2 linked regions of the Arabidopsis thaliana genome follow. The protein of the gene in region 1 purifies or fractionates together with the protein of each later gene. This does not show direct contact. Each region holds a gene or a part of one and is shown on either strand. Other genes may lie near its edges.

Region 1 (17,372 bases):
ATAATGATCACACCAAATCCAAAACCAGAAAATCTCTTCAAAAGTTGTATATAATCAAACCATCTACTTGGTAAAAACCACAACTTTTCTACTGCAAAACTCACGTAAGTCTCTCGTGCTTCTGATTACAGTAAAGCTAAATTCGAAATGCAAACGTAGTGATTAAATGATCCTCAAAGCTGAGAAAAGTTGTCATTATTCAATCAAAAGATTAACAGGCTTAGAATTCCATTTTAAGCCTTACAGAATCAAATACACGAAACCAGAAACTGAAACAACACACAACAAAAGCTTGAAGGTAAAAATGCAACATTGCATCAAGTTCTTATTCATAAAACAAAGAAGATAAAAGGAAAGACCTTTTTTTTAGCCCACACTATTCATTCATTAACAGGTGATGATGATCGAGAGTGTTCCTTAGATCCCAAAAGATGTTTACTTGGTTTCAGAGAAGAAACAAGATAATATCTTTAAGAACGATAATCTGGAACAATCCCAAAGACATCACAATCAAATTCCTTGTCATTTCTTGGTGAACATAATCCGCCAAAATCTCTTCCATTCCTTCATGTATGTGAAAGACTACAGGGATTTTGCGTAAGAAAGAGCCATTAGTGTAACCTCGAGAAGACGATTGACGCGAGAATTTGGCTGCCTTGTTGAGTTCAGATTGCCCAATTGAAGACGAAATCGAGCGATCGGTGACGAGATTGGTTGAATCTGGTTTCAGTTTCTGGGCTTGTGCGAAGGGGATTGAAGAGAGGTCTCTTCCCAGTGGGTTTCTCACGGCGGCGGTGGCGGATGCGGAGGAGATGTGACTCATCGAGAAAGGTAGAGACTTTGAGAGAGTGGCTCTCTGGGTTTGACGGTGGAGATCGAGGATAGTGCGGCGGAGAGACATCGTGGCCGAGGAGATAATCTGACGGAGAAGGATTGAAATTGGATCTGATCGGAGAAACAAACCCTATGTGAAATGAATCGGAAGCACAATTCTCGTCGTAGAGGTGAAGATGCATTAATGGAGTTGGGCTTTATACTGGGCTTTTCAGAACTACCAGAAGCCCAAACCAAAACCAAAATAGATTATTATGTGCTGCATTGCATAAAATAATGGACCAATGGAAAAAAAATAATTGATTCTCATTTTTAAGTAATTTTTAGCTCAGTCTCTTGAAATGTCAATATATCATATTCATGACCAATATATAAGATTTGGTCACTTCAAAATTCAAATGTACATGAACATTCTACAAGATAATTAATCAAATATTTACCTGAATAACATTGATTGGATAATATTAACTTGTTATAACTATTGCTTTATTTGAAAAAAAAAAAGAATGGATCCCAAATTGTAACTGAATAAAGCATCCATAACAAAGAAAGAGAAGTCAAATATCTTTCATACTTTATTTGATTTTCTAAAGTATAGGAAATATTTTCCCAAGATACAAATATGTGAATCAATGGTCTAAATAAAGTTAATGAATATACTTAAACCGGATTCCTTTCACTATAAGAAAGAGAAAAGAAAAAAGGATTTTATCTATTTCTAGTTGAACCTGAAAGTTATCTATACTGAAACAAGAATAGACAAAAGCTTCACCATCATGTGAAACTTATATATCACCAGAGACCTGTGAACTAGAAGAAGGCAATGGCGGTTGCGTCGAGCTGGTCTCGGGGTAAAACGCTGCTATAAGCTTCTCTTTCGTCAATGGATCCGACCCGTTGTTAGACTTTATCACAAAAGTGTGAAACATTGTGTCTTCAGCTAATGATAACTTAGCCTCCATTAGACTAACATTTGAGTTTCTCATTGCTTGTATGATTCTTGAAGCTGGATGTGAATCCAAAGGCGAGATTACTCTTACAACAACCTCTTCATTCATAGCTTGAATGTCAACTTCTGGACTTTCTTCTACTGTTATTGTGTTTGATTCTGATAAGCTCTTATCTGTTCCTACTCTTTCATCTTCCATTATCTTGACTTTCTCTTGAAGCTCTTTGATGTAAGAAATTGCGTCTCCAAGTAGAGAAGCCTTGTCCATTTTAGAAATGTTTGGAACAACTGATCGTAAAGCGTAGAATCTTTGGTTAAGCTTCTCGCGTCTCTGCCTCTCAGCTTCCACATGGTTCAATGGCTCTTCTCTTCCGTTTGCAGGCTTTCTCCCTCTCTTTCTCGGTCTCTTCTCATCAACAACAGAAACTATTCCTGCTCCTGCTAACAAGCTCACTGGTCTTTTCTCTGTACAAGATTCTGATTTTTCTTGCTGAGTGTTTGTAGATGGATTCGAAGAAGCAGCAACTGATGATCCCGCAAACTCAATCTGCGTCTTGTAATTGTTATTATCTACAACCATATTCACATTCTCTAGCACTTTCACATCATCCCTCTGAGGTGTGTAACCAAATGTTGGACCTTTATTGTTATTATAGCCTTCCCAACTTTGAGGAGTGAATCTCTCATCCAAGTTTCTTCTCACTTCGAGCTTCTTAGGATACGCGTGAGCTCCACTCAAATCCTGCCCGAAAAGCTTGTGAATCCCTCCAGTCATGTTAGTGTTTGAAGTCACCATTACTGGTTGCGTAACTCTCCTCATGAACAAAGCTTGAACAGACTTAACCAAGCCAATGTTTTCAGGCAAAGACCAAACAGAACCAAGCTCAAGAACACCAGCATCAGTAGGAACCATAACGATCGTTCTGATTCCCGCAGATTTCGCCATAAAAGACCTGAAACAATAGTCAGACTCAGAGTTAACTGCATCAGAGAGCCACACATGTTTCCCTGAAGAATAACACCTCCCAGGACCGCCTTCACCGTGATTGAAGAAGAAATACATGGAAGCTAAGAAGAAAATCTCAGTAGCAGTAACTTTCTCTAAGCTCAAAGCATAATTGTCTTCATCAGATCCACCAAACAACCTATGAAGCTTCTGCAACACTCTCTTCCTCATATCTTGCCATGTCTCTTCCTCTGCCCCCATGTTGTTAAAATTATAAGACCTAACAACTTTTGATTCCTCTTCCTCATTAGGCTCTCGACAACACCCATCTCCCCAACCTAAGACTTGTTGTCCGGATCTAGACATGGTTTGTTGCCAGAAAATAGCGTAGTTCCAGCTGAAATTCTCCGAGTTTGGCCAATCAACGAGACTAGAGAGCTTCTTATTCAGAGTATCATCAGTTCCCATAACAAGAAAGAGATTCTGATTCGAATTAGAGTTTGCTCGAAGAAAATCAGAAGCTAAATGCCCTAAAACAGCACTAACCACCGATTTATCTTCATCATCCCAACCTAAATCACTCATATTCATCTTTCTTTATCTCCCAGATTACACCAAATCCTACCAAACCCAAAACCACTTAAACGGAGAAGAAAACCAAACCTTTCTTCTACACAACTCAATGATTGACTCAACGATGCTTGAAACCATATAAACTCGAGTCTCTCCAGCTTCAAGATTCCAGTAATCAGATTCTAAGGAAGAAAAGGTCGGAGCTTTGAACAATTTGAAGAATACCCACCAGGAAAAAATGCAAACCCAGTGATGAATCACGCTCAAGAGAAGCTTGCGCCGGTGAAGAAATATCTCGCCGAAGAAAGATTCCAAAAAGCTTTGATTTTTACAGAGAAATTGAACAATTGAATGAGAGTTGCAACTAGAAAAGTCTGAAGGTTGAAGAAGAAGAAGAAGATACAGTTAGAGAGGGAGAGAGAGAGAGAAGGAGACAAGACTTGCTGGGGTAATTGAAGTTTGTATGAAAGCTCTTTTTAAAAACCCAACCATGGTTACTTATGCACGTTAATTACTTTGGTTATTCAACTTAACCATGGTTAATAATTACTCTGATTATTAACTCTGTTTCCTGATTTTAAGTTCACTTACTTTGATTGTTTCTCTCCGAATAAAGATAGAAAATCTAAAATCTCTTTTCAAATCTATTTTGCAAATGGATTATCTCACCCCTAAATCTGGCTAGTCTTTGAATTTGTCTCCAAATCCGATTAATTTCGTAAAAGTAATACATACTTGATGGTGATTTTAGTGAAACAACGATATTTGCACTTGGTAAATTTTAGAGAAAATAGTGTTTTGTGTACACACGTGTGTATGTACCTACGTGAGAGATTCAAATTATAGTAATGTACTTAAGAAGTATAGATCACATGGTCGAAATATTTTAAAATTTATTATGTACTAAATAGTACTAAATTAATTATTTGTTTTTATTTTTTTCTCTACCAATAAAAATAACTCACATGCATAAAGAAACAAAGAAATATTGTCTGAATTGTCTGGTGGGGTTTTGGTTATTTCAGACATCGTTATTAACGTGGGTCCATTTAATTAATAGTATAGTCTGAGTATATTATTCTTATCAATAGTATATATATAGTCCTTAACTTCGATATAAAAAATGGTACGTTCTTTCTTTATTTAGATTTTTATGGAAAGAAAATTATTTGTCGCATAGGATTTGCGTGAATCTCATGCCCAACAGTAACGTTCAACAAAAAGGGTCTCGTTCTGTGAGAGAGCACCATGTGATGGACTTTTAACCTACTTTTCTATCATCATGTGTTTGTAGTTTTCTAATTGTTTTCTCCCCATTAATTAAAAACTTTTTTTATAATTACATGATTATATTCATAACCTATTTTAAAGTATTATCGCATGAGATAAGCCTCACCATGTTTTGTATGGGGATATTTTCTTATAATAATTTAAAATGACATCATTAAAATTTGCATATAAATAAAGAAAGAGATTCGATAAACCTAATTCAAACTTAGGGATAGATAGTACAATGAAAACTCGTACATTGAAATGTATACGTTGATATACTAAAGCTTTGTAAAAAAACGTGATGATAATGTACAATATTGTGACGTGACATGCAAAATTTGACCTCTTGTTTTGTAGATTAGGATGATAACGCGATGATTGGTGTCTTTTGAGTAATTCGGAGTCGCACCAACTTATAAATTCTTTATCTTCTTAAGTTCTAATAGAACAAAAAAACTCATATCTCATATTTTAATTAGTACTAAAAACTATAACCTAATACTGAACGTGTTTTGCGTAGGCTTGTTTAATACTATTTTTTTTTGTCTATAATAATTAATACTCTTTCGTTAGAAGAGAATAGATTAGATACATTGCTTCAAAAAAAAGAAAAAAGAAGCTAATAATAGTTACAAAACAAAATTGGCTTTATCATTATGAATTTCACTTATTTATCTTTTTAAGATATGTAGAGAACCTAATTTAAATTTGAATTTGTAGATTGAATTTCGGTAATTTTATATAAAATAAAACAAAATAGTTTTAACAAAATTCAAACGAGTGTTATATATACATTAGTGAGATTATGCAACGAGAATAAAAAAACAATAACGGATAAGAGTAGGGCTCAATAATCGAATGGCAGAGAGCGAATGATAGGGAAAATGTGGGGTCAAGTGGAGACACTCGTGACTACGGTGGTCTTTATTGCAGACAATAACTTCTCCTGTCTCATATGCCTTTTGAAAACGTAAATTGCAAAAATGATTTGTCGTGTTTCACTTCTTTTGTCCTCGCAATTTCGCATTCTCTTTCTCTATTCTAACGAAAAACGCGTCTAACCATTTCGTAGATGAAAAGTTGTAGAAGATTTGAGCAGCTTATCAATTTCGCATTCTTTTTCTCAATTATAAACGCGTCTATCCATTTATAAGTTGAGAAGTGTAAAGGATATATAACTTGAATGATTATCAACAAAATGTAGGGAAAATAAGCCAAAAATAAAAACGAGTTAACAAAACCGACTCTATTGTGAATTCATAATATAGGTACTAAAATTTATATTGTATCACTATTTCTTATTAAAAAAAGTGTTACCGTTCATTTATATACCTCTATATTTTCTCGAAAACTATACTTTAAAAACTACATAGAAAAACATGCATAAAATCTTAAAACAAGTTTGTTTTTCTAAAACATATTTGTATAAAGGAACCGTGGGAGTATATATATGTTAATATGTACTATATATTTTGTCATTCAACGTATGTTTTCTTCGAAAGCTACCAATATGTGTAAAACTAATGTTGCAAAGTGGTGTTACTTGGGAAAATTCGGTTAGGAACAAAGGGGCTAAATAAGTCGCTTTGTTTACGCAACTCATCTTCTATTCTTCTTTATATATCACGCGTTTTTCGTGGGCTTCAATGGGCCACATGAGGTCGACATTTTTAACCTTTATATTCAAAAGTACGGCAAAAATACATCATGCGCCACGTGGCTTTCTTTGTTTATCATAATCTCACACGTCTCACGTGTGACAAATGCTAACGCTAACTTAACTAGTGGGTTTGGTTAGCCAAAATACCAAATGATACAATAAGAAAACAAGCTGAGTTACTTGGCAACAAAATTTAGTTCGAGGTGAGAAATTCATGTGCAATTGAATATTAGTATGACTCGTCTGGCTTTAACATCAAAATCAAGCACAAAACAGAAAAATACGTCATCAAAGCAATAACTATTTGACTAATTAAGAAACTCATTTTCTTGTTTGCAAACCCTTTTTTATATATTTGTAGTTTTGTAGACAAACGAACGTGATGCGTTTGGACCAGCGTCACAGACGTTGACGGCTTTGGGACACGTTTGAAGAAAGAATACGTCGACATTTCTTATTTCAGACTTGCTCTCTTTTTAGGTTCACTACACGAATTTTCACGTACACAACTTCACAACACGTTTTAGTTACGAGATTCTGTTTTTTTGTTCGATAATTTATTTTAGTAACACGTAAATAGATGATTTATATGGTTGGTATAATTATAAATGCACCGACAGACTTGAAACTAGAAATTCTACCGACAGAAATTCTTGCTCGGAAACCATAGACTACCTACCCTATTAATGTCAATGCTATTTGATTAAAAACAAAAGCATTAATTGATCTTAGAGTTATGGGTTTATATTTTATAGGAAAGAGTAAAAGCTCATTATATTTATGGGCTTATAGAAAAGAGCAATAGCCCATTTAACCGACTTACTCTATCGGGTATAACCAAAAACCCGATAACCCGGCTCGTTCATCGGGGAATTTTCCGTTTTCTAAAAGTAAATCTCTTTGAAATAAAAAAGCTTCTCCGTTTCCCTCTTTTGAAAAAATCAGAAACCCTAAAATCGCCACTCTCTCGTCTCTCTTCGCGGTCCATTCTGCTTCATCTCTCCCGGCGAAACCTTAATCGAACAGCTCGGATTCGATCCTATTCTCTGTTGTTTTCTAAGAAAGATGGAGTGGAATCGGGAGACTCTAGTGTTCCTTTCGCAATGTTTTCTTAACACGCTCTCTCCGATACCGGAGCCTCGTCGAACGGCTGAGAGAGCACTCTCGGATGCTGCTGATCAGGCTAACTACGGCCTAGCCGTTCTCCGTTTGGTGGCTGAGCCAGCAATCGATGAACAGACGCGTCACGCCGCTGCTGTCAACTTTAAGAACCATCTCCGTTCGCGATGGCATCCTGCTGGTGATTCTGGTATCTCACCGATCGTAGATTCTGAGAAGGAGCAGATCAAGACACTCATCGTCTCTCTTATGCTCTCTGCTTCTCCTCGTATCCAGAGCCAGTTGAGTGAAGCCCTAACCGTCATTGGTAAGCACGATTTCCCCAAAGCTTGGCCTGCTTTGCTTCCTGAGCTTATCGCCAACCTTCAAAACGCTGCTCTCGCTGGCGATTATGTGTCCGTCAATGGTATTCTTGGGACCGCTAGTTCGATTTTCAAAAAGTTTAGTTATGAGTATAGAACCGATGCTCTGTTTGTTGATTTGAAGTATTGCCTGGATAATTTTGCTGCTCCTTTGACTGAAATATTCCTGAAAACGTCTTCGTTGATTGATTCTGCTGCGAGCTCTGGTGGTTCACCTCCGATCCTGAAGCCTCTCTTCGAGTCCCAAAGGCTGTGCTGTACAATATTTTACTCTTTGAACTTTCAGGACTTACCGGAGTTTTTCGAGGATCATATGAAGGAGTGGATGGGAGAGTTTAAGAAGTATCTATCTTCAAATTATCCCGCCTTGGAAAGCACAGAGGAGGGGTTAACACTTGTTGATGATCTTCGCGCTGCTATTTGCGAGAATATCAATCATTATATTGAGAAAAACGAAGAAGAGTTTCAAGGCTTTTTGAATGAGTTTGCATCAGTTGTCTGGACATTGCTCCGGGATGTGTCAAAGTCTCCTAGCAGAGATCAACTAGCTACTACAGCAATCAAGTTCTTGACCTCTGTGAGCACAAGTGTTCACCATGCTTTGTTTGCGGGGGACAATGTTATCAAGGAAATTTGCCAAAGTATTGTGATTCCTAATGTTTCTTTGAGGGTGGAAGATGAAGAAATTTTCGAGATGAACTATATTGAGTTTATCCGTAGAGATATGGAAGGAAGTGATGTGGACACTAGAAGGAGAATAGCTTGTGAGCTACTCAAAGGCCTTGCCACAAACTACAAAACACAAGTGACAGAAGTAGTTTCTCTTGAGATACAGAGGCTCTTGAGTTCATTTTCAGCAAACCCGTCGGCAAACTGGAAAGATAAGGATTGTGCAATTTACTTGGTTGTCTCTCTATCTACTAAGAAGGCAGGGGGTGCATCTGTGTCTACAGATCTCATTGATGTTCAAAACTTCTTTGCAAACATTATTCTCCCGGAGCTGCAAAGCCGCGATGTCAACAGCTTTCCAATGCTAAAGGCAGGGTCCTTGAAGTTCTTAACTATGTTTCGTAGTCATATACCAAAGCCCTTTGCAATGCAGTTGTTCCCAGAGTTGGTCCGTTTCCTTAAAGCAGAGTCGAACGTGGTCCACTCTTATGCTGCTAGCTGCATAGAGAAGCTCTTGCTAGTGAAGGAGGAAGGCGCAAGGGGTAATAGGTATGCTGCTGGTGATTTAAGTCCCTTTTTGCTGCAGTTGATGACAAACCTGTTTGATGCGCTGAAATTCCCAGAATCAGAGGAGAATCAATATCTGATGAAGTGTATAATGCGGGTCCTTGGTGTTGCTGATATCAGTGCTGAGGTTGCTGGACCTTGCATCGGGGGATTGACCTCTATTCTCAGTGAAGTTTGCAAAAATCCTAAAAATCCTATATTTAACCACTATCTCTTTGAGTCTGTGGCTGTACTTGTTCGACGGGCATGTGAACGTGATATTTCTCTTATATCTGCATTTGAAACGAGTCTTTTCCCAAGCCTCCAGATGATTTTGGCGAATGATATCACAGAGTTCTTGCCTTATGGGTTTCAGTTGCTGGCTCAGCTTGTTGAGTTAAATAGACCAACTCTCTCACCAAACTACATGCAGATCTTCTTGCTGCTCCTCTCGCCTGAGTCATGGAAGAGAAGTGGCAATGTTCCAGCTCTTGTGCGCCTGCTTCAAGCTTTTCTGCAGAAAGCACCTCATGAGGTTACTCAAGAGAATCGGTTGAGTCAAGTTCTGGGGATATTTGAAAAGCTGGTTGCATCTCCTAGCACGGATGAGCAAGGCTTTTATATCCTTAACACGATTATTGAGAATCTGGACTACAGTGTGATTGCACCTTACATGAAAGGTGTATGGAGTGCTCTATTCACACGCGTTCAAAACAAAAAGACAGTCAAGTTCCAGAAGTCGCTAGTAATATTCATGTCGCTTTTCTTGGTGAAGCATGGACAGGCTTATCTAGTGGAGACTATGAATACTGTTCAGCCAAACATCATCACTGCTATCGTGGAGCATTTCTGGATTCCGAACCTGAAACTGATCATGGGGAGTATGGAGGTCAAGTTAACGGCAGTTGCTGCAACTAGACTCATATGTGAGACTCCGGCTCTCCTGGATCCATCAGCTGCTAAACTCTGGGGGAAGATGCTTGATAGCATAGTGACGCTTGTTTCCAGGCCTGAGCAAGAAAGGGTACTTGATGAACCTGAAATGCCAGAAATCTCAGAGAATGTTGGATACACAGCTGCATTTGTGAAACTCCACAATGCTGGGAAAAAAGAAGAGGATCCTCTGAAAGACATCAAGGACCCAAAACAGTTCTTGGTCGCTTCTGTTTCGAGGCTTTCTTCTGCTTCTCCTGGTAGGTACCCACAGATAATTGGTGAGAATCTTGAACAAGCAAACCAAACAGCTTTGATCCAGCTCTGCAATGCTTACAACTGTGGAATTGCTTGAAGGTAAAGTGTTTGTATTGACTTGAAGAATGGTTTCAGATTCGTATTCAGGAATCAATCTTGATGGTGATTATAAACTGTTTTTGGCAGGAGAAAAAAGGGGAAAGAAGAAGGGAAACACAACATCACTGGATTGCATTGCGTCTGCGAAGAACAAGTGGTCAAGTCATAAATGCATATTTTTGTCCTAAAATCGGGAGTTTCATAGCATGTGCAAGTTAGATTAGAGAAGAGCATCCATCATCTTCCACCAAAACTTGGATTTCTTATTTTTGATTTTCGCATTTAAATGGGGGGTTTGTCTTGATTTCCCTTTAAAAGCAAAGCATGTTGTTCATCTCTGTATGGTGGTACTATGTGTTTATGTGCATTTTGTCGTAATGTCTGTTGGTCATGGATTCATCATGGTTTTGGTTGTTATTAAAGATGGAGAAAGCCAAGCATGTTTCATAAACTTCTCGATTTGGAGAACTAGTTTCGACGTGGGCCTGTAATCGAAGTTTGACCCATATATCTAATCAAGTCAATTTTTCATTATCATTTTTTTTGGGGCCAACATCTCTTCCTTGATTAAGAAATTTGTTTTTATTTAACTCCGTGCTTTAAATTTTAATTTAATCTTTCAAGTTGAGAAGTGGAGTGTACTGTCGATACAAAATTGTGAAAGAGAGAGAGAGAGAGAGAGAGAGAGAGAGAGAGAGAGAGAGAGAGAGAGAGAGAGAGAGAGAGAGAGAGAGAGAGAGAGAGAGAGAGAGAAGAAATGGGGAACAAGAGGTTAGGAGGTGATTGTTGGTGCTAATCATATGGACCTATGACCACTAAACTCTTGCCTAATTCTTAATTAACAATATCGTCATTGACAACACATGAATAAAGGAGGGAGAAAATGGTAGTTTTTTTGTTTGTCTTAGGCCACCAGTTATACAAATCGCACTTTTTTTTTATTTTTCACTTCCTAGCAATCATTATTGTAGGAAAACATTTGATGTCGACAAAAGTCTTGTAAGTAATCTATATTTCATACTCACCACTCTTACGTTTTTTAACTTTATACTATTCATAAAATCTTTATAACAAAACATTATAAATTCGGCTGGTATATTGTCTAGTGACCATCTAATATGGCCCTCGCACGTTGGCGATATCAATGATTGTCATGTTTTCGTCTTCATATTTTGTATCCATTTTTATTTATCTTATTTATCTGTATGATATAGATTGTATATGAGAGACATGTTATGGGTAAGGGGAAATAATGGAGATGGGGAGAGATAGAGATTGAGACCCATCATGGTCCTGGCATTGAGAGAAAGAGAGAGAGAGATGGTGTCATATGATATGATCATGTGATTTATCATATGGTCCCCTCGTTTTATAATATAAGAAAATGAAATTATAGTGGACCAACCATTGTTAATATATCGTAACTTTCTTGTTTCGACTCTTTTTGAACTTTGGTATAAATTTATGTTTATGTATGTGTGGATTTGGCTTAAAGTAGATTCAAACTCAGTGAACCCACTCAAACACAGTTGTCAATAATTAGAGACCTAGTTAGAGTGTACTTTTCTTTTTTCTTTTTTATATAAGATGGTAAACGTTTTCGATAGCAGAATTCAGTTTCTCCAAAATTATACTTCATATGTATCATAAGTCATCTGTTTCGAGTTGAACGATTTGTTAGAATCAGATTCATCTTGTTAGCGAGTCTACTCACGTTAGATTATTAAGACATTACGATGTACGACTACCATATCACACATTAGAAAGAACAAACAAAAATGGAGTGCTTTCTTCTTTGATTAGTTTTAAATGTTTTCCCCCAAGTATTTTATGAAAACTTGACCAATCCTTTGTCAAACATGTGAGGTGCCTTTATTTGAATAAAATTGGAAAAAGGTAATAAATAAACACAAACAAGTACTAGGAATCCTTTCCTTATTTAACAAAATAATTATACATCCACCACTTCCTACAAATATATGTTAATTTCACAAAAGAGAGCAATCATGGAATGAGAAAATAAAACAAAATTATATTTTCATTTTTCCCGATAATAATGAATTATATATATGACCCGTTGAATTGGTAAATTATATAGGTAGGAAAATGGTACGAACTATTTTTATTCGGTAGAATGGATCTCAAACAGATTCTCCAAGATGTATAACACGTATCGCTGGAGTTGTACGGACGAGTTTGATACGAAATTCCCATTCAATGATACACTTTAATTTAGAGGATTTAAATGTTGTTTTTATAATGGGATTTGAATGGATGCTAATTGATATTGGAACACATGTTTACTATGCAATCAGATTTCAAATGTTAGATGATTAATAAAAATGAAACAGGATAAAATATATTTTTTAATTGTTTATGTGAAATTTTCTTCTAGTGATGTATCATCATTTGTTTATGTGAAATTTGATATTCCATATGTTTTAGTATATCCATAAGAAACTCATATCTAAAACTGATGTATCATTATCCATTAATATTAATTTGTTGTACAAGTGAATGATAGTTAATATCGCTTATATACGTGATTTCTTGCCGCATGTACGTGAGATCACACTTCATGTGCATCCAAAAATTTGCATTTTATTTCTAGAAATTAAGCGACAAGGAAGACAGAGCTAGAGAGTACTGTCTTTACTCTTTAGACGTGCATATGTCTCCTCGTACTAATTACTCTTTTAAAATCCTTGCATTTCATTATTTTCTGCGACAACATATTTGGTCGGAACTTGCCAAATGATGTAGCTATTGTCCACGTGATGTTTTAGTTTGCTATAATATGTTTTAAGTGGATCCTTACTCAACATTAACACCACCCTATAATAATAAAAAAAATTTAACCATTCATTATTCAAGTTTGATAACCAATATATATCCGTTGCTCAAAAAAAAAAAAAAAAAGATAACCAATATATATCTTATTGCTGTATTTATCTTTATATAGTTTTATTTTAATAGTTTTTGAAAACTGAAACCATAACAAGAAAGCGTGAATCCAAACGCATTCCTATGAATTGTAAATTGACAAGTAGCATTTTAGAATAGATGGAATCTAATCTCTAAATCGTAACCGAATAAATGGATTGGATCCGTTGCACAGATGGTTTACAAAGATAATCATATTATAACTAATCCGAATTTCAATCTTGTTTTGATCTATCTTTTAATAGCAAAGTCCATGAGTTTAGTGTTTTTGAGATTCCTGGACCAAAGGGTCATTTTTCGCATATTAAAATGAATGAGATAATTACGACAAAAAAATGAATGAGATAATTTGGGAAAATTAAATATATACAAAACCATTATTATATGAATGTACTAAATTATTTTTAAATTTTTATATTTCACCTATACCTAATACAGAATACAGTGTCATTGCTTTGACTCCCTCCACCAACAAGTGAAAAACCTAATAAAATTTTACTAATAGAAAACGAATAGTGGAAGAAACCATGTAATGTCCAATCAACCAGTAAATCGGTTTAAAATATATAAAAAGTCAGTATTCTTAAGTAGAAAGATAATAAATTTGTGCAATAGTAATCAAGATAGTAGATACGCCGTTGGAATCAAATCTTCTTTTCTTGAATGTGTTGTTAACTTAAGCCAACCATTTGATTCTCTTTACTGCAGCTATATTAATTATTAAACACCAATGCAATAACCATACATTTCTTCGTTTTATTTAGTCTGTATATTCGATCATGACATCATTCTCCCACACTTCCAAAAAAAAAAAAACAATTCGATGACGATATCTATATTAGTTGAGACATGCATATCTACAATACGAATATTCGTTATTCTCATTTACTGATGTGGCGATTATGATTTATGACTAAACGAGTGATTAACTATATACAAAAAGTAACAATTAAAACAAAAGTAATAGAAAAATATTGTGAAATGAAAATTCCAGTGTATCACTAATGAAGCAATTAAGAATAGAAAACTAATACTATAATGTTTATATTCCCATCCGTGCGTTTCCATTCACTTTAAGAAATGATCATATTCGCAACCAACAATTTGAAGCAAACGGTCCTCTACTTTTTATTGTTCGTTTTCTCTTTACCGAATTTTAAAATCACGTTAATTATCTGTATAACTACCTTTTTGCGTTGAAGTATTTACAACTTGAGTAAAATGTAGATTCGTATCAGGATACAAACACACAATAATACTATTCAGAGTTCTTAGTAAATTAGTTTCCTTTTGCAGCGATTTATTTCCGTCAAGTGTATAATATAGTTAACCAACATAACTTAAGTTAAAATTTCCCAAGTATAGATATAACAGAAGATCAAATATCGACTCGAAACTGAGTTATAATTAAATTAACACGTGAAAATAAATAGAAAAACAAGAAAATATCTCGCACGCTTTCCAAAGCCCTAGAACAATAACGTTCGATGGATTGGAAAAATCTCTGCTGGTACATTCACGAGCCAACACGTTTGCCTGCCACGTTCCAGACACAAGCTAGAAAGTAACGGCATCGTCAAATCTAACGAGACTCATCAAGGAACAATTTATAAACATCAATTTCTTTTTGGTTTCACACGCCTTATTATGGTAAGAAACTATTTTTGCCTATTGAATGAAAAAAATTGATAAGACATATGAAGGATGAGACCTAACTATAGTCTTAAGTACATAACATTTACTACTACTCAAAACCGTTGTCTTTAATTTTAACGGTCCACATTCGTTCTCACAATAATTGACCATACGTTTGTTTAAATACTTCAAAGGAAAGGAAAAACAGCAAGACGTTTGTGAGGTAATGGACAAACGACACGTAGTTTGAAAGATGAGAAGGAAGACAAAAAGGCATAGAGAGGAGGAAGAGAAGGAGCGGTTTCGTAACTGAAACTGAAAAAGCTTTAAGAGAAAACCCGGAAAAAAAAAAAGAGAAATATTTTAATCAATTCTTCTTTATCACAAAGAGTGCCTTTGTATTAATGAATTTTGATGTTGTGTAATGAATACAGACATAACCGTCGTGTCTCGTCGTTAAAGAAACGAGAGTTTTTCAGCTCTTTACTTACCTTTTCTTCTTACCCTTCTTTCATGACTCTTCTTCTTTGATGGGTTAATAATGCTTTGAGCTTGATGATTTCGATTTTAGTTTCCTGTTAGTGTTTGTTTTCTTCTGTAAAGCTTGGATTTTTTTTGGTTTCTTCGATGGCGAATGTGGAAGCTGATTTCAGAACATCAGGTGAGTTCAAATTTTGACTTCAATTTTCTCAAGTTTTGAATTTTCTTTTTCTCTTGGGAAAAAGTCAACATTTTTAACTCTAATCATGAGCCAAACAAGCTTAGAGCCACTTATAATTTCTATTATAAAGCTTCAAATTTTGCAACTTTGGTTGAAATTGATAGCTGTTGGTTGGAATTTAGGGTCTAATGATGATGAATTGTACACGGAGCTATGGAAAGCTTGTGCAGGGCCACTTGTGGAAGTTCCTCGTTATGGTGAAAGAGTTTTCTACTTCCCTCAAGGTCACATGGAACAAGTAAAGAATCCAAACTCTTAAGATTATTCCTTGTTTTGTCTTTCTCAAGTTTTAAGATTTGAATGTTTGTCTTTTGGCAGTTGGTTGCTTCGACTAATCAAGGAGTTGTTGATCAAGAGATACCAGTGTTTAATCTTCCTCCAAAGATACTTTGTCGTGTTCTTAGTGTTACGTTAAAAGCAGAACATGAGACCGATGAGGTTTACGCTCAGATCACATTACAACCAGAAGAAGATGTAAGTTTAAAGAATCTTGAATTAATGTGATAAATTCAGTGAATTTGATTTAGATTTTGTGTGTATTTTATTATGCAGCAAAGTGAACCAACAAGTCTTGACCCACCTTTAGTAGAACCAGCTAAACCAACGGTTGATTCTTTTGTGAAGATTCTAACAGCTTCAGATACAAGCACACATGGTGGATTCTCTGTTCTTCGTAAACACGCCACTGAGTGTTTACCTTCACTTGTAAATGCTTTTATCTTTCCATCTTCATTTTACAGAGTTTGGGCCTTTCTTAGCTGAATTTGTCACTTTATGTTTTGATTTTTGATTTTCAATACTTAGGATATGACACAACCTACACCGACTCAAGAACTTGTAGCTAGAGATCTTCACGGCTATGAATGGAGGTTTAAGCATATATTTAGAGGTAACAGAATCTTTAAGAGAGTCTCTGAAAGCTTCTTTTAAGAGTCTATTAAGTTTTGTCTTATTTGGATAGGGCAACCGAGGAGGCATTTACTTACAACCGGTTGGAGTACATTTGTAACCTCGAAAAGACTTGTAGCTGGAGATGCATTTGTGTTCTTGAGGTAGCTAAAGATCTTGTGTCTTTACTTTCGGGTTTTACTTCATGGGGTGGTTAACAAGTAATCTTCTCATGTTGTTTTTAAGGGGTGAAACCGGGGATTTACGGGTTGGTGTGAGGCGTTTAGCTAAGCAGCAAAGCACGATGCCCGCATCCGTTATTTCGAGTCAGAGTATGCGTTTGGGAGTTCTTGCTACAGCTTCTCATGCTGTTACCACAACAACTATATTTGTTGTCTTCTATAAACCAAGGTTAAGTTTTAAACTTTCTCCATCTTGTATAGGTTGCTAGTGGAAGGGCTTTAAGCTTGACATTGTCTGTTTTTTGTTCAGGATAAGCCAGTTTATAATTAGTGTGAACAAGTATATGATGGCGATGAAGAACGGGTTTTCTCTCGGTATGCGGTATAGGATGAGATTCGAAGGAGAAGAGTCTCCTGAGAGAATGTAGTTTCTCATTTTTTGCTTTGTTCACTTGTTGATTTTTTTTTTATGAGTCCTCTCTTGAATGTTGTTGTCTGAAATTTTAGAATGGTTTCTTCTTCAGATTTACAGGTACCATTATTGGCAGTGGAGATCTATCTTCTCAATGGCCAGCTTCCAAATGGAGGTCATTGCAGGTTTAGTGAATTGGAATCATTTTCTAGAGATGATATATATCATATCATTCTTGTTGCATACTTTCTGTAAAATCTCTTCTTCATATGTTTAGATCCAATGGGACGAGCCATCTTCTATACAGAGACCAAACAAGGTCTCACCGTGGGAGATCGAGCCTTTCTCACCATCCGCGCTTACACCAACCC
Region 2 (15,964 bases), on another chromosome or scaffold:
AGACAAAAAGAATTATTTGTATATGTCACTATAAAGGTTATTCAAATTTAAATAAAAGAAATTACAAGATTCATATATATATATATATATATATATATATATATATATATTTTTTTGATAATGATATGATCCTTTCTAATTTACATAAGTAGATGGGCGTATGGAGGAAACATTAGGGTGTATTTCTGGAATGGAGAAGATCAGAGTTAAAGATACACCAGAAGGAGTTGTGTTTGGGAATTTAGACTCTGTTTTCTCGAAGATGTTGCACCAAATGGGACTTGCTTTGCCTCGTGCCACTACGGTTTACATGAATTCTTTTGAAGAATTAGACCCTACATTGACTGATAACCTCAGATTGAAATTCAAACGTTACCTGAGCATCGGTCCTCTTGCGTTGTTATTCTCTACTTCGCAAAGAGAAACACCATTGCATGATCCACACGGCTGCTTGGCTTGGATCAAGAAGCGGTCCACTGCTTCTGTAGTTTACATTGCCTTCGGTAGAGTCATGACACCGCCTCCTGGAGAGCTTGTAGTGGTAGCACAAGGATTGGAATCGAGTAAAGTGCCTTTTGTTTGGTCGCTCCAAGAGAAGAACATGGTTCATTTACCAAAAGGGTTTTTGGATGGGACAAGAGAGCAAGGAATGGTGGTCCCATGGGCACCACAAGTGGAGCTGCTAAACCATGAAGCAATGGGTGTGTTTGTGTCGCATGGTGGGTGGAACTCAGTGTTGGAGAGTGTATCGGCAGGTGTACCAATGATTTGTAGACCGATTTTCGGGGATCACGCACTCAATGCAAGATCCGTGGAGGCTGTGTGGGAAATTGGAATGACGATTAGTAGTGGAGTCTTCACGAAGGATGGATTTGAGGAGAGTTTGGATCGGGTTTTGGTTCAAGATGATGGCAAGAAGATGAAGTTTAATGCCAAGAAGCTTAAAGAACTAGCACAAGAAGCTGTCTCTACGGAAGGAAGCTCCTTTGAGAATTTCAAAGGTTTGTTGGACGAAGTTATGAAAGTTTGAAGCAAATAGACTTTGGATAAATAAACAAATAAACATGTTCTGTTTTGGAATGAAAATGAAAAGACCTTTTTTGTAAAAAAAAAGTGAAAGTGAGAATCTTTATCCTTTGTTTTTATTTTTTATTTTTTTCTGTTATGGTAACTTTGTAATTAATATATACATATCTAAACAAATTGTATGTCGGTAGATATATGTTTTGAGAAAAAAATATCTATCGTGTAGACTAGTCTCCATATAAAAAAATATCTATACGTCTGTCGATCTAGGGGCTTACTTTAGAACATTGAATGAAAGACAGATGAGACTTGATGAGAAAACTCACCATATAATATAAGAACCACAAATTCTACCTACCAAAACAATATAGCAGGGACATAAACAAAGGACAAAATAAAGGTATACTTAAATTTGATTAAGAGAGAAAGAGTCTATACTTGCTCGGTGGCTCATCTACGAACTCTCTTTAGCGTACGAACTCTCTTTAGCGTACTTCTATTTAATGTAACTACGCACATTACTCTCTCTTTAGCATACTTCTATTTGATTAATGTAACTACGCACATTTTTCTCTCTTTAGCGTACTTCTATTTAATGTAACTACGCACATTATTCTCTCCTTAGCATTGCCTGCATCATGGCCAAACCCTCGCAGCCAACGCGAGACTCCCACGTGGCAGTTCTCGTTTTCCCCTTCGGCACTCATGCAGCTCCTCTCCTCGCCGTCACGTGCCGTCTCGCCACCGCTGCTCCCTCCACCGTCTTCTCCTTCTTCAGCACCGCACGATCCAACTCGTCGTTACTCTCCTCCGATATCCCCACAAACATTCGTGTCCACAACGTCGATGACGGTGTTCCTGAGGGATTCGTGTTGACGGGGAATCCACAGCACGCTGTTGAGCTGTTTCTTGAAGCGGCGCCAGAGATTTTCCGAAGAGAAATCAAGGCGGCCGAGACCGAAGTTGGTAGGAAGTTCAAGTGCATCCTTACGGATGCGTTCCTCTGGTTAGCAGCGGAGACGGCGGCTGCGGAGATGAAAGCGTCGTGGGTTGCGTACTATGGAGGCGGAGCAACCTCGCTCACTGCTCATCTCTACACAGATGCCATCAGAGAAAACGTCGGTGTCAAAGGTATACACAAATCTTTTCTTGCTTTACGATTCCATTGAAATTTCAATATTGCAACTATAGATGCCTTATAGGGCAAGTAAACCTGCCTGTTCCACAATAATCCCCCGAGGGATTTTTAAAAGAAATGTCTCCATTCTAATTTTCAGAAGTAGGTGAGCGTATGGAGGAGACAATAGGGTTTATCTCAGGAATGGAGAAGATCAGAGTCAAAGACACACAAGAAGGCGTTGTGTTTGGGAACTTAGACTCTGTTTTCTCTAAAACGTTGCACCAAATGGGTCTTGCTTTACCTCGTGCCACTGCTGTTTTCATCAATTCCTTTGAAGAATTGGATCCTACGTTTACAAATGATTTCAGATCGGAATTCAAACGTTACCTAAACATCGGTCCTCTCGCTTTATTATCTTCTCCATCGCAAACATCAACGCTAGTGCACGATCCTCACGGTTGCTTGGCTTGGATCGAGAAGCGGTCCACTGCTTCTGTAGCGTACATTGCCTTTGGTAGAGTCGCGACACCGCCTCCTGTAGAGCTTGTGGCGATAGCACAAGGATTGGAATCGAGTAAAGTGCCTTTTGTTTGGTCGCTACAAGAGATGAAAATGACTCATTTACCAGAAGGCTTTTTGGATCGGACCAGAGAGCAAGGGATGGTGGTTCCATGGGCACCACAAGTGGAGCTGCTAAACCATGAAGCAATGGGTGTGTTTGTTTCGCATGGTGGGTGGAACTCAGTGTTGGAGAGTGTGTCGGCAGGTGTACCGATGATTTGTAGACCGATTTTCGGGGATCATGCAATCAATGCAAGATCTGTGGAAGCTGTGTGGGAGATCGGAGTGACGATTAGTAGTGGAGTCTTCACGAAGGATGGATTTGAGGAGAGTTTGGATCGGGTTTTGGTTCAAGATGATGGCAAGAAGATGAAGGTTAATGCTAAAAAGCTTGAAGAACTAGCACAAGAAGCTGTCTCTACCAAAGGAAGCTCCTTTGAGAATTTTGGAGGATTGTTGGACGAAGTTGTGAACTTTGGATAAACATGTAAACAACACCTACTAGTTGTTATCTTGCATTGTGGGCGGGAATAATAAATTATTGACGTATAAGTTTTCGAAGTACAAATAAACGTTTTATGCTATCTTAATATTTATTGTTACGTGTCAATAATTTAATTTAGATGGCATTTTCGTTTTCATAAATTAAATAGTTGTATTTATTTAATTTAGTGGTAGTTTTATTTCATATGGGGTAACAAATAAGAGTAAAATAATGATGACTAAATTCAAAGTTTTGTTTGATAAAATTGTCAAAGCACACTTTAAAGTGGACGATTTTAATGAGAAACATCACCACAAGTCAATCTTACAATTTTAAACCCCCTAGGGGGTGACAAAGATAGAGTCTAAAAAAATATCTTGCACCTAAAACACGAATCACTGAGTAATAGAAACAAACCCCCAAAAAAAGGTCAAAGCAAAAAGGAGCCAACCATATGAGATAACTAGAGAAGGTCCCTAATGTTTAAATCTACATTAAACCCAATTAATTAACCAAACAAGACACTAATTTATCCCCAAAAAGATCTCTGTTTTCTTAGCTTTTCCAATCCTCAAAATCGAATTGAGAAGCTTCGGAATACGGTAGTAGAGATACGGTCGGGGAAATTAATCTCTCCTTGAACTCTTTCCTGTTTTCAAAAACCTATGATTACAAAAAATCCAGCCCATTGAACACAGGAAGCTTCTTCTTGTTGCACCCTTCTTAATTTTATGAGTCCACCATCTCGTCTTGAATCTCATTAGGAGCAATAAGCCCAGGAATTGAAAGCATTCTTTGACGTTCTCTCTCTCTCTGTGCAGCTGCTTCCTCAGCATAGAGATCTTTGTTATCCTGAAAAATAAGTATTCAACAAATTGGCTTCGGCTATTTGGTTTTGAGTTCTTAAAACCAATTTGAATGGCTTTTGCGAAAGACAGGTTAAGTACCTGAGCGGAAAACTCCTTAGACTGTACAAGGAAGTCACGAATGTTATTCTTAAATCCAGACGGGTCATTTCTAGACTCGTATAGTCCATTCACAAATTGTGTGACCTGTATTATTTGTTGATATCAATATATCAGGATACGAAGTAAAAAACCAACATGAAAACTGTGAAAGTGAAACTTCTGGTTTTAGTTTTTATTACCTCTGCTGCAGTCATGTTTGGGAATGAAGAGCTCAGTAGCTTAATGGTGTATTCGCGAACAAATGCAACGTTGTCCGGATACGGGTAAGGAACGGTTGTAGCATCCCACAAGGGTTCTGTCAAAGCACCGCTCTCAGGCTGAAATATATAATTATCAAACGGCTAAGTGCATAGAACTACCCATTCCCAAGTAAATGATTACTTAAGCTATCAAATAAGAAACAACAAGAGAAGAGATGGTTTTACCAGGCAAAACAGTTGCTGCAGCACCAACACATGTAGCTTGAAGCCAGGCTTATGGAAGGTATCGGTCAAAACGGCAAATATTTCTTGCTCGATTTGCATAAAGTATGACCGGTAGAATTGATTACAAAATTCAGATTGCTGTCACAATCAGAGTAAAGTGTTAGAGCAAGCGTAATATATGCCACAACCACTGAGCTAAAAGAAGGAAAATAAACACCAAACCTGAAAGTTTTTCAGCATCTCAAGCAAAAGATTAAGCCCGGTTTCAGCAATATTTCTCTCAGTATGTCTAAATGCCCAGATAATTGAATCCATCACTAGCTTCAGTTGCTGTTGCAAAATGACGATACAGTAAGAAACAGAAGCAAATAATGAGAGAAGGCTTAGAAAGAAGGTCAAACGACTTTTCAATCACGTAAAAGAATAATATATGCAAAAACGTAATCACTAACCGGACTTGATAACTTTATCAAGGCAGGGAAACAAAACGTAGCAATAGCACGGAGTAATGAGAAAAACTTGAGGCGGTGTTCTGGATAATCTTCAAAGTTCTTAGTTATCATCTGCAATAGGATGAATAAAAGGTGTCAATAAAGTATACAAGGCATAAGAACGACCGCCACGCAAGTCTTTCATCCCGTCAAATACACACAATCCATAAAATCTGTTACCTCCAATGTACACTGGAATACAGCTTCAAATATGTGAGGCACGTCGTCTAACATTGTTGCCTTGTACCTGAAAGAAAAAAGTCAAAATAAAATATTGCAGCATGGTAAACATCTGCCCAGATCTTCCAACCTTTTCACAATTACAGTTAATTTATTAGGGCACACATCAACAATAAGAGGCATACTTGTTTATAATCGTTGCAAAGAGTGAAAGAACTTCGGATTCCCTAGCATCAGGCACATTCCTCGCATAGTCACCAAGTACTGATTCCATCATTGGCGGCACAAATTGTTTCCCTATGTGTGGCTGGTCTTCAGCTTTGTCTAAAAAGGTTTCTATCAGCTTAAGTGTTTCCCTCTTAACCGATCTGTATAGCAAAGAATCACAATACAAATTATTCCAGTTTTTCCAAACAGAGGCATCTAGAACGTTATTTCTGGTGCATAAAGCCATCCAAACCTTAAGAGTTTTACAAAAGATGTCTTGGAAGCATATGGTCCTCCCTCAGTAATGTTGGTTGACACAAGCTCACTGTACATTCTGGTGCAGCCATGGAAAAAATAAAATGATCATCCACGTAAAAGAACTAGAGAAAGAGAACCATGACTATTAACGCTATAAGGATGCATCATGGATTTACCTGTATACATTCAACATATCCAAGAAAATCAAGGAAATTTGGGATAAGAAGTATGTTCCCAGTGAAGTAGCAGCACTAGTATTAGTCTGCAGGGAAAAACACATGTTATTAGTTGGACCTTACAATCAAACCAACAGTTGTCTAAACACCAACAGATGCACAATCTTAACTACTATAATGACATGAATTCACGTGATGGAATCATAATGCATTGTGAGGAATAGGTAAGAAATCAGACCTGTAGGATGTTTAGCACTGTACGTATCACAACTTGATCCTTGAGGAATTCTACACTGTGGCGTGCCTGTCCTATGATTTCTGCCCATTTCTACATTGTATAGGGGAACAATTTTAGCCAGATATGTAAACAAAAATAGCCACATTTTAATTAACATACCTGGTTGGGGAGTGCCATCAACCTCTGGAGATATTCATCTCTCTTCTGAGGATCTGATTCTGCTTGGATCATATTACCAACCTGGAGAAAAGAGAAACGATGAGATCACAACAGGAAAATTTGCTCTGATTGGCATGCGAATAATATTTCTGGAAAACTTACTGATTCATAAAATGAGTGTATTTGATGAGGCTCAAGATCTTGAACAGTTGTTGCAAGGCCTGTTAGAAGTTCAGATACAAATGGTTCATTCTCTCCAACCTGAAAGAACAACGAGCTGTAATTAATATCTCATTCAGAAGACAATGGATATACTAAAACCTAACGGTGGATAAAAATACAGCAATACATACCTGTACAATAACGAATTTTCGCTTGCACTTTTGAACTATTTTCAAGAATGTATCACAGGCCATGTCCTGAAAGGGAAACATAAGTATCAAGTATCTGTGATTGGGAAGGTGCAAGGTCTATAAATCTATGAAAGAATATTCAGTCAAAAAAGAGACTTCAGATAGCTTGAGACGATTATAAATAAACTACAGCACCGTAATTAACAACTTGAGCATATTTTTGCTACCAATATATTCTCCAAGAGCTTAAAAATATATTATTCATGGATTTTAACAGCGAATAACACATCATTTTATCTGAGATTCCACCTGGAAAACTGTATCTCATAATATATAAACTATAAAGATTGGGACCAGCTACCTGAACACCAGGATGTGTTTCATGCATGAATTCAAACAACTTGTTCACAACTGTCTTCAAAAACTTCCAATGGGCCCTTAAGAATCTTGGATACTGGCCAACGACATACCTGCAACCCAGCGACAGCAGAACAGAGAGGTCATACTTAACCAAAAAAAATCTAACATCGCCTTGAAAGAAATAGAAAATATAAGATGATAGAAGTACAACAACCTAGGCAGAAATTCAGCTGTAGTAACAAACTTACATGATGTTGCTTGCAATAACGGCTTTATTGTCTTTTCCCTTGGTAATTTCACATAAATTCAACAAATCACGAATGACCATCACCAAAAACCTGTTTTCCTGAAGAAAAAATGGAATTTAACAATTGTTAGCACAGAATTAACAATGTAAACCTTCCAGAGCAAAGTATGGAGCAGTCAGGCCGATAATGATATCTCATGAAATGGGAGGTTAATGAAAGAAACAATTAACATTGAAGGTTGACACTGTCAAACTTTCTTGAATTAAGTTATGGCATACTAGCCCACAGATGGAGAGGTGCAGCATTACAAACAAGAACTTCTACGGTTATGAAAAGAATTTGCAGTCAGGTGAAGCATAGCAAAAGATTTTACCTGATCTTCTGCCATAGATCCGGAAATAGACCCAATAGCCCAGCACAAAGTGTTCAAATTGTTCCATGCCCATTCCTCCCCACTTAATTGTTTGTTTAGCTTCCTCAACATCTTTTAAAGGAACAATCCGAAGTTCACATCAGCAAAACAGCATGGAACAGACCAAAGTAAGCTTACATATCTACCAGAAAATCTCATATCTTATAACAGGTCCATGTTAAAATTGCTAAAGTTAGCAGTACTAATATGATAATTCACACTATAACAAGGAGAAACTCATTTGATAAAAAGCATACTTGATCATAAGACTGCTAATCCTCAATATTTCACAAATTAATACGCATAGACCGGTATCATCATGGTGACACTGTACCTGCTTCTCGGTATCATCATGGTCAAGGTGTGAGAGGTAGATTAATGTCTCCCGCATTATCTGCATTTGTTCAAACAAGAAATGGGGAAGAAATCAAAGAGGATATCCAAAGAGGATTCAAATAAATAAAAAATTCCTTGTATAACATCGCACTGTTGGTATATATCTAAGACATCTGAAGAAAAGCAGTATGAACTGGACAAGAATTGATACCTTATATTGGACAAGAACATCATTGTCCTTCATGGTTTCACGAACGATGTTCCCATTTTCATCTTCAACAATAAGCACTTCTTCAGGCTTCGCCATGCGGTTAATCATTAACCCTCTTAATTTGGACATTGGGTGAGAATAAAGTTGACGCCGCTGCATGACTTGAGAACCAAGGCCATCAACCATACCAGGAAGGAAAGGCTGGGAAAATTGCAAGTCAACGCCCAAGGTGAGTAACCAAATCAAAGCAAGGAAAGTTTAACCAATACAATATATAACTATAGTATCAACCTTAAATAAATGTAAAAAATTGATCATATTAGTCAAGGAATCCAACGTACCTGCAAACCCATCAGGCTTGCACTTACTGCAGGGTTATCAGAATTATGATGCGCATCAAATAGCTCCAACACCAACGAGTTCCAATAGTCCAAACAAACCTGCTCAATCCACAAGCAAGCAGAAAACGTCATCTTTCAGACACGAACAAAAGCACATAAGAATATAATTAAGGAAAAAATTAACATACAACTCTATCAACAGCAATCATATTAACAAAGACAATTTAGGTACCTTAAATACTTCAGTGTCGTCAACATAAGATATATTAATGAGATATTCTAGACCAGCGAGTAACAAAGAGACAACTTCTGGCGTTGATTCTAGGACTCGAATATGAAACTGCAGAGATAGTAGTGAAATAGTTAAGAAATAGATGATGAAACAATAATTACTGGAAGCATTAACACAAATCATTATACATATCAAAATTTCCATAAACCCAACATGAGATATCTAACTCAACAAAGAAAAATAATTACCTTGAAAAAGGAAGTGAAAAATAGTGCCAGGTTCTGGATAAATGCCTAGAGGTGACACATAAAATTCCGAGTCATAACCTTGATAAGTTATTCAAATGAACGATCTACCTTAAAACCAAGCGTGCAGAAAATACTTACTTGTTCTTCACCACTTCCACTGGAATATGCCTCAGGGATCTTTGTACTCGGTGGGAGAATTATCTGCAAGTACGAGAACAAGTGTAGACCATCAGGCAAGAAGCCAAGACAAACAAGAAGCAGACCAAATTCACTACTTTAACTTAATAAGAATGAAAGAAAAATCATTCTTAATAATACAATGAACTAAAAGACAAAAATAAATAAATAACAAGAAGACGATTAATTTACCCGCAGCTGCCCTATAAATATGGTATACATTTTGACATATTGAACATTGTAGAAGTCCCCGAAATTAAGAGCTGCGACCTGATCGACAAAATTCGAGCCAATAGAGAAATAAATAATACATTCAATTAACATTAGGAAAAACTGAACTTAAAAACTGAGGTACCTCGGTCAGACATTGAATAGTGAGGTTCCTATATGCTGGCACAGGAAAAAATTTAAGGAGGGTCTCAAGCTGTAAATAACCAGAGCAGCTATCAGAAGAACATATTGTGGTACCAATTAACATCAATCTATAAATTATTTGAAGTCTATTACCAAAGTAGACTCAAAAATGTAACCCAATGGAATCCAGGAAAGATAGGCATGCAATGCAGACAGTGTTGCACGTATAAGATCCTGTCTTTGAGAAGCTGAGAGGACATATAGGCATAACTCATGAATGAGTTTAAACTCACTGCACATAAAAAAAGCACAAATAGGTAAATAATGAGATACAACGTCACTTAATCAACATATACACGATAATAAAGATTGAAAACTAATAATTACTATGCTAAAATTGAGATTCTCAAATAGACCTGTTTAGAGATTGTTTCAGCTCTTTAATCTTCTGCTGAGTCATTTCTCCTCTTGAGAAATCAAAAACCTCTTCACTTAGGAGCTAAATAAAGGAAGAAAATGTTTAAAATATTCCAGTGAGAACTGATTATGATATCATGTAAAGATTCTTACTTTCAAAATGGCCATGCAATTTTCGCAGATAGTTTCGCTAGTTTTAGCAGCTGCAACTAGATCAGGAATGAAGCTTGTCCACTTTGCCGGCCAATCATGTTTCACGATCTGTGCATTTATCACAACATATGTTATGCCAGAAGATAAAATAAGTCTACGGGTTGGAATGAAGTTTGTAAGTATCAGCTACTGAAACCAAAGAGACAAGAGAAGTGCAACTAATAAACGCATTGAATATTATTATCAGGGAGTGCTGAATATACCTGGACCAAAATGACATTTAGCTTGTTGACATAGAGCCTTTCTGATCTGAAAGATGCTTCATTACTCGAGAGCTACAAGGTAAACTCATTATCAAAACAGTTCTGTTAACTAAGCTTCCCAGTTATATCCAGAGAACAAGGTAATAAAGCCTCCAAAAGTATATACCTGTACAATAACCTCTGAGATGTAATTTTTCATTCCATCTCGTTGTTCAACAGGCAGTGCATTCCATCTATACTTTATAACACCTTCTAGAACCTGAGAGTGGATGCCAAAAAGAGTAAAGTATCTCAACAGAACAGTTTTAATTTACAACTGCATAAGGAACTAAAACTGACCTGCAGAGCAAAGAACTTGGTATCCAAGCTGTTTGTATTTTGTAGAATGTGGACAACTTGAAGCCACATATCTGGATTAGCCTGCAAATCCCGCAAAATCTGGTCCGCAGCAGCTCTCTGAATATGTTTCGGGAGCAATGCCGATTAGTTCAAGGTAAAAACTAAAATACAAATGAGGTGAATGTTGACATTGAAGCAGAAGTATAAGAAATACGAGATTCGGTAATCAGAAAATTAAACAATCATAGCAAAATTATCTTTTTAAGTGATGCTATTTCACTGCCAGATGAGCTCAAAGACAGAGGATAAAAATTACAAGTATGATTGGAAACAGTGAAGCGACAAAAGAACAAGGGACTTAATTCACCAATCTCGAGTCTCAGTGAGCAACTAAACCATTGTAATTCAATACATTACTAAAACTCTAGGACCCTAAAAATCCAAATTGAAAACTCGAGCTGCCCGAAACAAGCGTCTTAAGACAAAGATGTATCAGAGTGCTAAAACCCTAACAACGAAACGCTCCTAATTCCTACTCCTCACACCCAATCGAGAAGAAGACGCTCAAACAATAAAACAGACCCGCGAAATAGACTAATCATTGGTCGAGCCCCTTGAACAAGTCAAAACCCAGAGAAATTGAAGCACCTCTTCTTTAGATCCGGTAACAAAGAAGGCCGCAACAGTGGCATCGAGCACACCGACGTCAATCGGCTGGCTCAAGTCCCTTAACTTCTCAGCCGCCATGGCAGAGAGAGATGTGTCCAAAGTTCGCAGTAGAATCTTCCCGGAGGCTAATCAAACCTCTCCGTTAAGACTATTAACAGTGAACGAGAGAGACGAAAACCCTAGGAGAGAGAGAGAGAGAGAGGGAAAGGGGATAAAAATCTAGAGAGAGAAAGGAGAGGATGGTTTAACACAGAGCGAGAAAAGAGAGGCTTATATATACACACATATATATAGAGAGAGAGAGTTCTCAAAAGACAGCTTAAAATTGACGCAGGGGACGGGGAGAAAACGAGTGACTTTGAAATTTGTTTTACATCTTCCTCTTTCCTTATTATTTTATTAAGGTAACTTAATTAATTAATTTGATTTGAAACTTTATTAGTTTACTAAGTTTTTATGCTGTTTTTTAATTGTTCTGAGGCCTATTTGTAGAATTGAAATTTAATAATTTGTTGAGTTTTTCTGCTATTTCTTGATGGGGACATAAGGAACTTAACAAAACAAAATAGTTTTCAAAGAATTTAATTTACATACATAAAGGAAAAGTTCATCTTCTACTTCTTCTTTTTTTTGTTTAGAAAGAAGGTTTTTTTTTAATGCATCCTTTCTTTTCTTCTTAATAACTAAGCGGAATTAGAAAATCTTGAAATCTAGTTTCTTGATATCCTGATAAACAAATTTAACCACATATACCATTAATTAGTTTTTCTTACTTTCTATAAATTTAATGTTACCAAATAATTTTTAAATATTTTATAAGAATTTAATTTCGCTCCAAATATCTATTTCGCGCCAAATAGATTAGTGACATTAAATTTACAGAGAATAAAACAAACTCACTTTCTAGTGTTTGTGAGAAAAACAATTATCATGGTATTGAGTTATTAGATTTCAAATTAAACTTTGCGCTAAAATCATAATTAAAATCTCACAAAAAGTGTCCAATCTGATATCATAATAAGTTTTCAACCGTTTATATACTCTTTTTTTTTTGCTAAATACATAAATATTGTTAAAATGAGATTTTAGGCGTTATAGAGCAAAACCTACATAAAAAGCAAACGTGACAAAAAAAGAGAAGTAAAAACAAGATTACAATAAAACTTAGCAGCTTACATAAGATTTGGTAAACTTAGTGAATCCAAAAAAGCATCAACCGTTGCCAGCTCTTCCTACTTCTTCTTGAGGTGATGTTGTTGTGAAGCTCCCGATCAGCGAACTTGAAGATAAGAGCTGGTGATAGGTGTTGCGAGTTATGAAGGAGGTTATTTCACTGTCTCCATAGATTGTAAACCACGACATGAGCTTCAAGTTTTTGAAACAAGGACGGAGCCGCAGGGGAAGAGAGATGAGTCGAAGAAAGGAGTTCTACCTAAGAACAAAACAACATTTGACGCGAACACAATCTGCTGAAAACCATTATTCAAATCTGAGAAGAAAACTCACAAACAAACAGTAGATGATCACGCGATTATGTTGCACTAGAAATTTGTTTTTTCTTACTTTGTATTGATTCTAAATAATTTTCAAGTTTATAAAAAATTTCGCGCCAAATATATTTTAGTGATATAGAGTTATTCAGTAAAAATGATATTGATCATATATTTTTTATTATGTAAAGGTCTAAATTAAGATTTCTTTTCTCAACTTAAAATGTTGTTATTAATATTAGGTAATGATATGGATGTAGTCCCAATTACAATTTACCAGGCCAGCCCAATTTATTTGGGAAGGCCTTTTAATGAATTATATATTTTAAATAAAGAAAAAATGATATTGATAAATATATAATTCAATAAATTAATTAAGTTTCCTTTTTACAAGATAATACAACTTAAGTTACAAATTATATTCAAATTAATTAATTAAGTTTCCTTTATATTCAAATTATGTACAAAAAACTTTGTTTTAAAATATTGTTAACAAATACGTTTATGCTGATTTTAAGGGATTGATGTGAAATTTGTTTAGATTAAATTTGATTGATAATGTGATTGACAATTTAAATTAAGAATGTAAAGTAAAATTAATTAGTTTGGAAAAAAGATTTAGTGTTAATAGCATTGGGTTGTAAATAAGTTCAACTCTACGATTTATTTGCTAGAATGACTGCAAAAATATATATATAGATAAAAAATTATCTTCATCTCCTATTTTGCATAAAATGAATTGAATATTATTTAATTTTTTTTCTTCAACTCAAATTTTCCAAAATTTTTCAATTTTTTCGACATATACAACCAGTTGCACCTTTCTTTCGTTCGTAAATCTAGTTACAAAAATTATCAAAAAAACAAATTAAGTTACAAATTTCTTCTGTCAAAAATAAAATAAAATGGAACATTTGATAGCATACTTTATAGTTTATACTAGAGTCAATCCAACGGTTGGTATTGTCGATAGATTAACATTCCAAATTCTGACCGTCATCGTCACCAACCTCCACGTCTATGTGAAGATGATTCAATGTCGTTGAGTGGTAGTAGTTAAATCTTCAAAACCCCGGAGAATTATATATATGGGTTTCGTTCAGCAAACCTAACTAAACTCAGAACCAGAATTCATATTTCGGTCGCTCAAATCACAGCTATGGCGCTTGATCCTGAGCAGCAGCAACCAATCTCCTCTGTTTCCAGAGAGGTATACGTCTCCTTTCATTGTCTACTTCGTCGTTTTGTTTCCTGTTCGATTAAACGGTGTGAGAGAGTTTTCATTTGAAGTATACGTCTCCTTTCATCTGAAGCTTAATTCTCTAGTAAATTCGTACTTCTTGACTTGCCACATTAGGAATGTTCCTTTTGAGATCAACTTTGGCTTTTAGCTGACAAATTTCTGGAAAAATTCTGAAATTTGCTATGTTGGAATCTTAGAGATTGTATTTAAGAGTCATATATTCACTTTTTGGGGACTCGCTTCAATTCTGAGAAGAAATTTAGAGGCTTTTACGGATTTTTAGCCATCAGCCTCACAGTTATCTTTAAGCATGAAATTTTTAGACCCTAAATGCTGTGTACAATTGGTTTGTTGGTTTCATGATTTGTGTGTTCCTTACTGTTTTTTTTTTTTTGGGTGGCAACTTTCTGAAACTGTTTATGCGTTTTAGTTTGGTAAGTCATCTGGTGAGATCAGCCCAGAAAGGGAGCCTCTTATTAAAGAGAATCATGTCCCAGAAAACTACTCTGTCGTTGCCGCCATTCTCCCGTGAGATCTCTCATCTCTTCTCCAAGTTTGGTAGTTCTTAAAATGATTCAAATGAAACACTCTTGAACAATTCCGATGTGTTCTTTGTTTGGTTATATTGTGTATCATTTAGCATAATATGTATCCTGACTAGGAAACTAGAACGCTGTGTATGGTACCTTGCATAGCTTTCAAATAGAATTCCTTATGGAATTACATACCATCTGCAGGAATTTGGACCTATGTCCCTTTGCGCATGGTAGTTTTTTGGTTTGTAGCTAGTCCATTGATGATTGATATATGCATGTTAAGAAGTTTCTGTTTCATTATCAGGTTTTTATTTCCAGCTCTCGGAGGACTGCTTTATGGTTATGAAATTGGTGCAACTTCTTGTGCAACCATTTCACTTCAGGTAAAGTTAAAAGTTGTCTGAAACTATCTAGTCCTACAAAATTTGTTATCATTCAACTTATTTTTCAAGTGCCTAGTCACTGTTTTCAAAGCCTAAATATTATAAAGCTCTGGAAATTGGACTGAGATATCAGTACTGAAACATGATATTTCACACTTGCCAGACCATTTTTTCCCTTTGATTTCTCCTGTATATTGTTGTCACATGCATGTACGTTATTTATATTTGTCTACATTCTTTTAGGAGCCTATGACTTTGCTATCTTACTATGCTGTTCCCTTTTCTGCAGTCGCCTTCATTAAGTGGAATTTCATGGTACAACTTGTCCTCAGTGGATGTTGGTCTAGTTGTAAGTTTCCAAGTTATATGTGATACTTCTTCTTTATCCTGGTCATTGCTTATCATTTATTCACCTGCCGCTCTTGGATATGTGTTTGCCATTTGGAGTAAAGACAAATTTGCTTACAAAATAGTGTTAAATTTTCTCCAGACCAGTGGCTCACTTTACGGTGCATTATTTGGCTCAATTGTGGCTTTTACTATCGCTGACGTTATAGGTTAGTTTTACTTCTCACTATCTTCATTTTGTAGGCATGAGTATTTAGCAATGTTTGCTTGTGGAAAAAGATAAAGTTTTGGTTTTGTTGAATTTGGAAGGAAGAAGAAAGGAGCTGATTTTGGCTGCATTATTGTATCTCGTTGGAGCCCTTGTGACTGCACTAGCCCCAACCTATTCCGTTCTGATAATTGGACGGGTTATTTATGGGGTCTCAGTTGGACTGGTAAGACTGATCATGCTTCTTTATTGTTTGACATCTAAAGACTTTCTTATGCATGCCAATGGCTCAAACGTTATATATTATGCATTTGGCGGTGTACTAAGAATCGCACATCTGTTAGGAGGGG

The links.
Region 2: the proteins of AT2G46520 (region 1) and XPO1A fractionate together in Arabidopsis thaliana (co-fractionation; one large-scale study listed by BioGRID). This does not show direct contact.

The regions. Positions count from the first base shown.
Region 1 is NC_003071.7:19,089,568-19,106,939, forward strand, and holds AT2G46520 (cellular apoptosis susceptibility protein, putative / importin-alpha re-exporter), read left to right. Parts: upstream 1-6,845; 5' UTR 6,846-7,299; coding exon 7,300-10,218; 3' UTR 10,219-10,220; intron 10,221-10,307; 3' UTR 10,308-10,806; downstream 10,807-17,372. Other genes in the region: SDH4 (succinate dehydrogenase subunit 4), read right to left, coding at 446-901; AIB (ABA-inducible BHLH-type transcription factor), read right to left, coding at 1,620-3,320; ARF11 (auxin response factor 11), read left to right, coding at 15,545-15,757, 15,838-15,993, 16,072-16,224, 16,324-16,408, 16,481-16,571, 16,654-16,818, 16,900-17,013, 17,114-17,186 and 1 more.
Region 2 is NC_003076.8:5,590,424-5,606,387, reverse strand, and holds XPO1A (exportin 1A), read right to left. Parts: upstream 11,757-15,964; 5' UTR 11,485-11,756; coding exon 11,386-11,484; intron 10,855-11,385; coding exon 10,738-10,854; intron 10,658-10,737; coding exon 10,565-10,657; intron 10,471-10,564; coding exon 10,399-10,470; intron 10,244-10,398; coding exon 10,136-10,243; intron 10,065-10,135; coding exon 9,982-10,064; intron 9,858-9,981; coding exon 9,719-9,857; intron 9,636-9,718; coding exon 9,567-9,635; intron 9,482-9,566; coding exon 9,404-9,481; intron 9,236-9,403; coding exon 9,173-9,235; intron 9,080-9,172; coding exon 9,035-9,079; intron 8,895-9,034; coding exon 8,787-8,894; intron 8,654-8,786; coding exon 8,555-8,653; intron 8,415-8,554; coding exon 8,214-8,414; intron 8,061-8,213; coding exon 8,001-8,060; intron 7,739-8,000; coding exon 7,628-7,738; intron 7,353-7,627; coding exon 7,255-7,352; intron 7,117-7,254; coding exon 7,008-7,116; intron 6,713-7,007; coding exon 6,647-6,712; intron 6,555-6,646; and 27 more. Other genes in the region: AT5G17040 (UDP-Glycosyltransferase superfamily protein), read left to right, coding at 167-1,030; UGT78D3 (UDP-glucosyl transferase 78D3), read left to right, coding at 1,665-2,157, 2,304-3,190; AT5G17010 (Major facilitator superfamily protein), read left to right, coding at 14,056-14,106, 14,570-14,667, 14,980-15,058, 15,348-15,407, 15,549-15,615, 15,716-15,840. UniProt on the Arabidopsis thaliana protein: Receptor for the leucine-rich nuclear export signal (NES). Binds cooperatively to the NES on its target protein and to the small GTPase Ran in its active GTP-bound form. Required for the maternal-to-embryonic transition and during gametophyte development.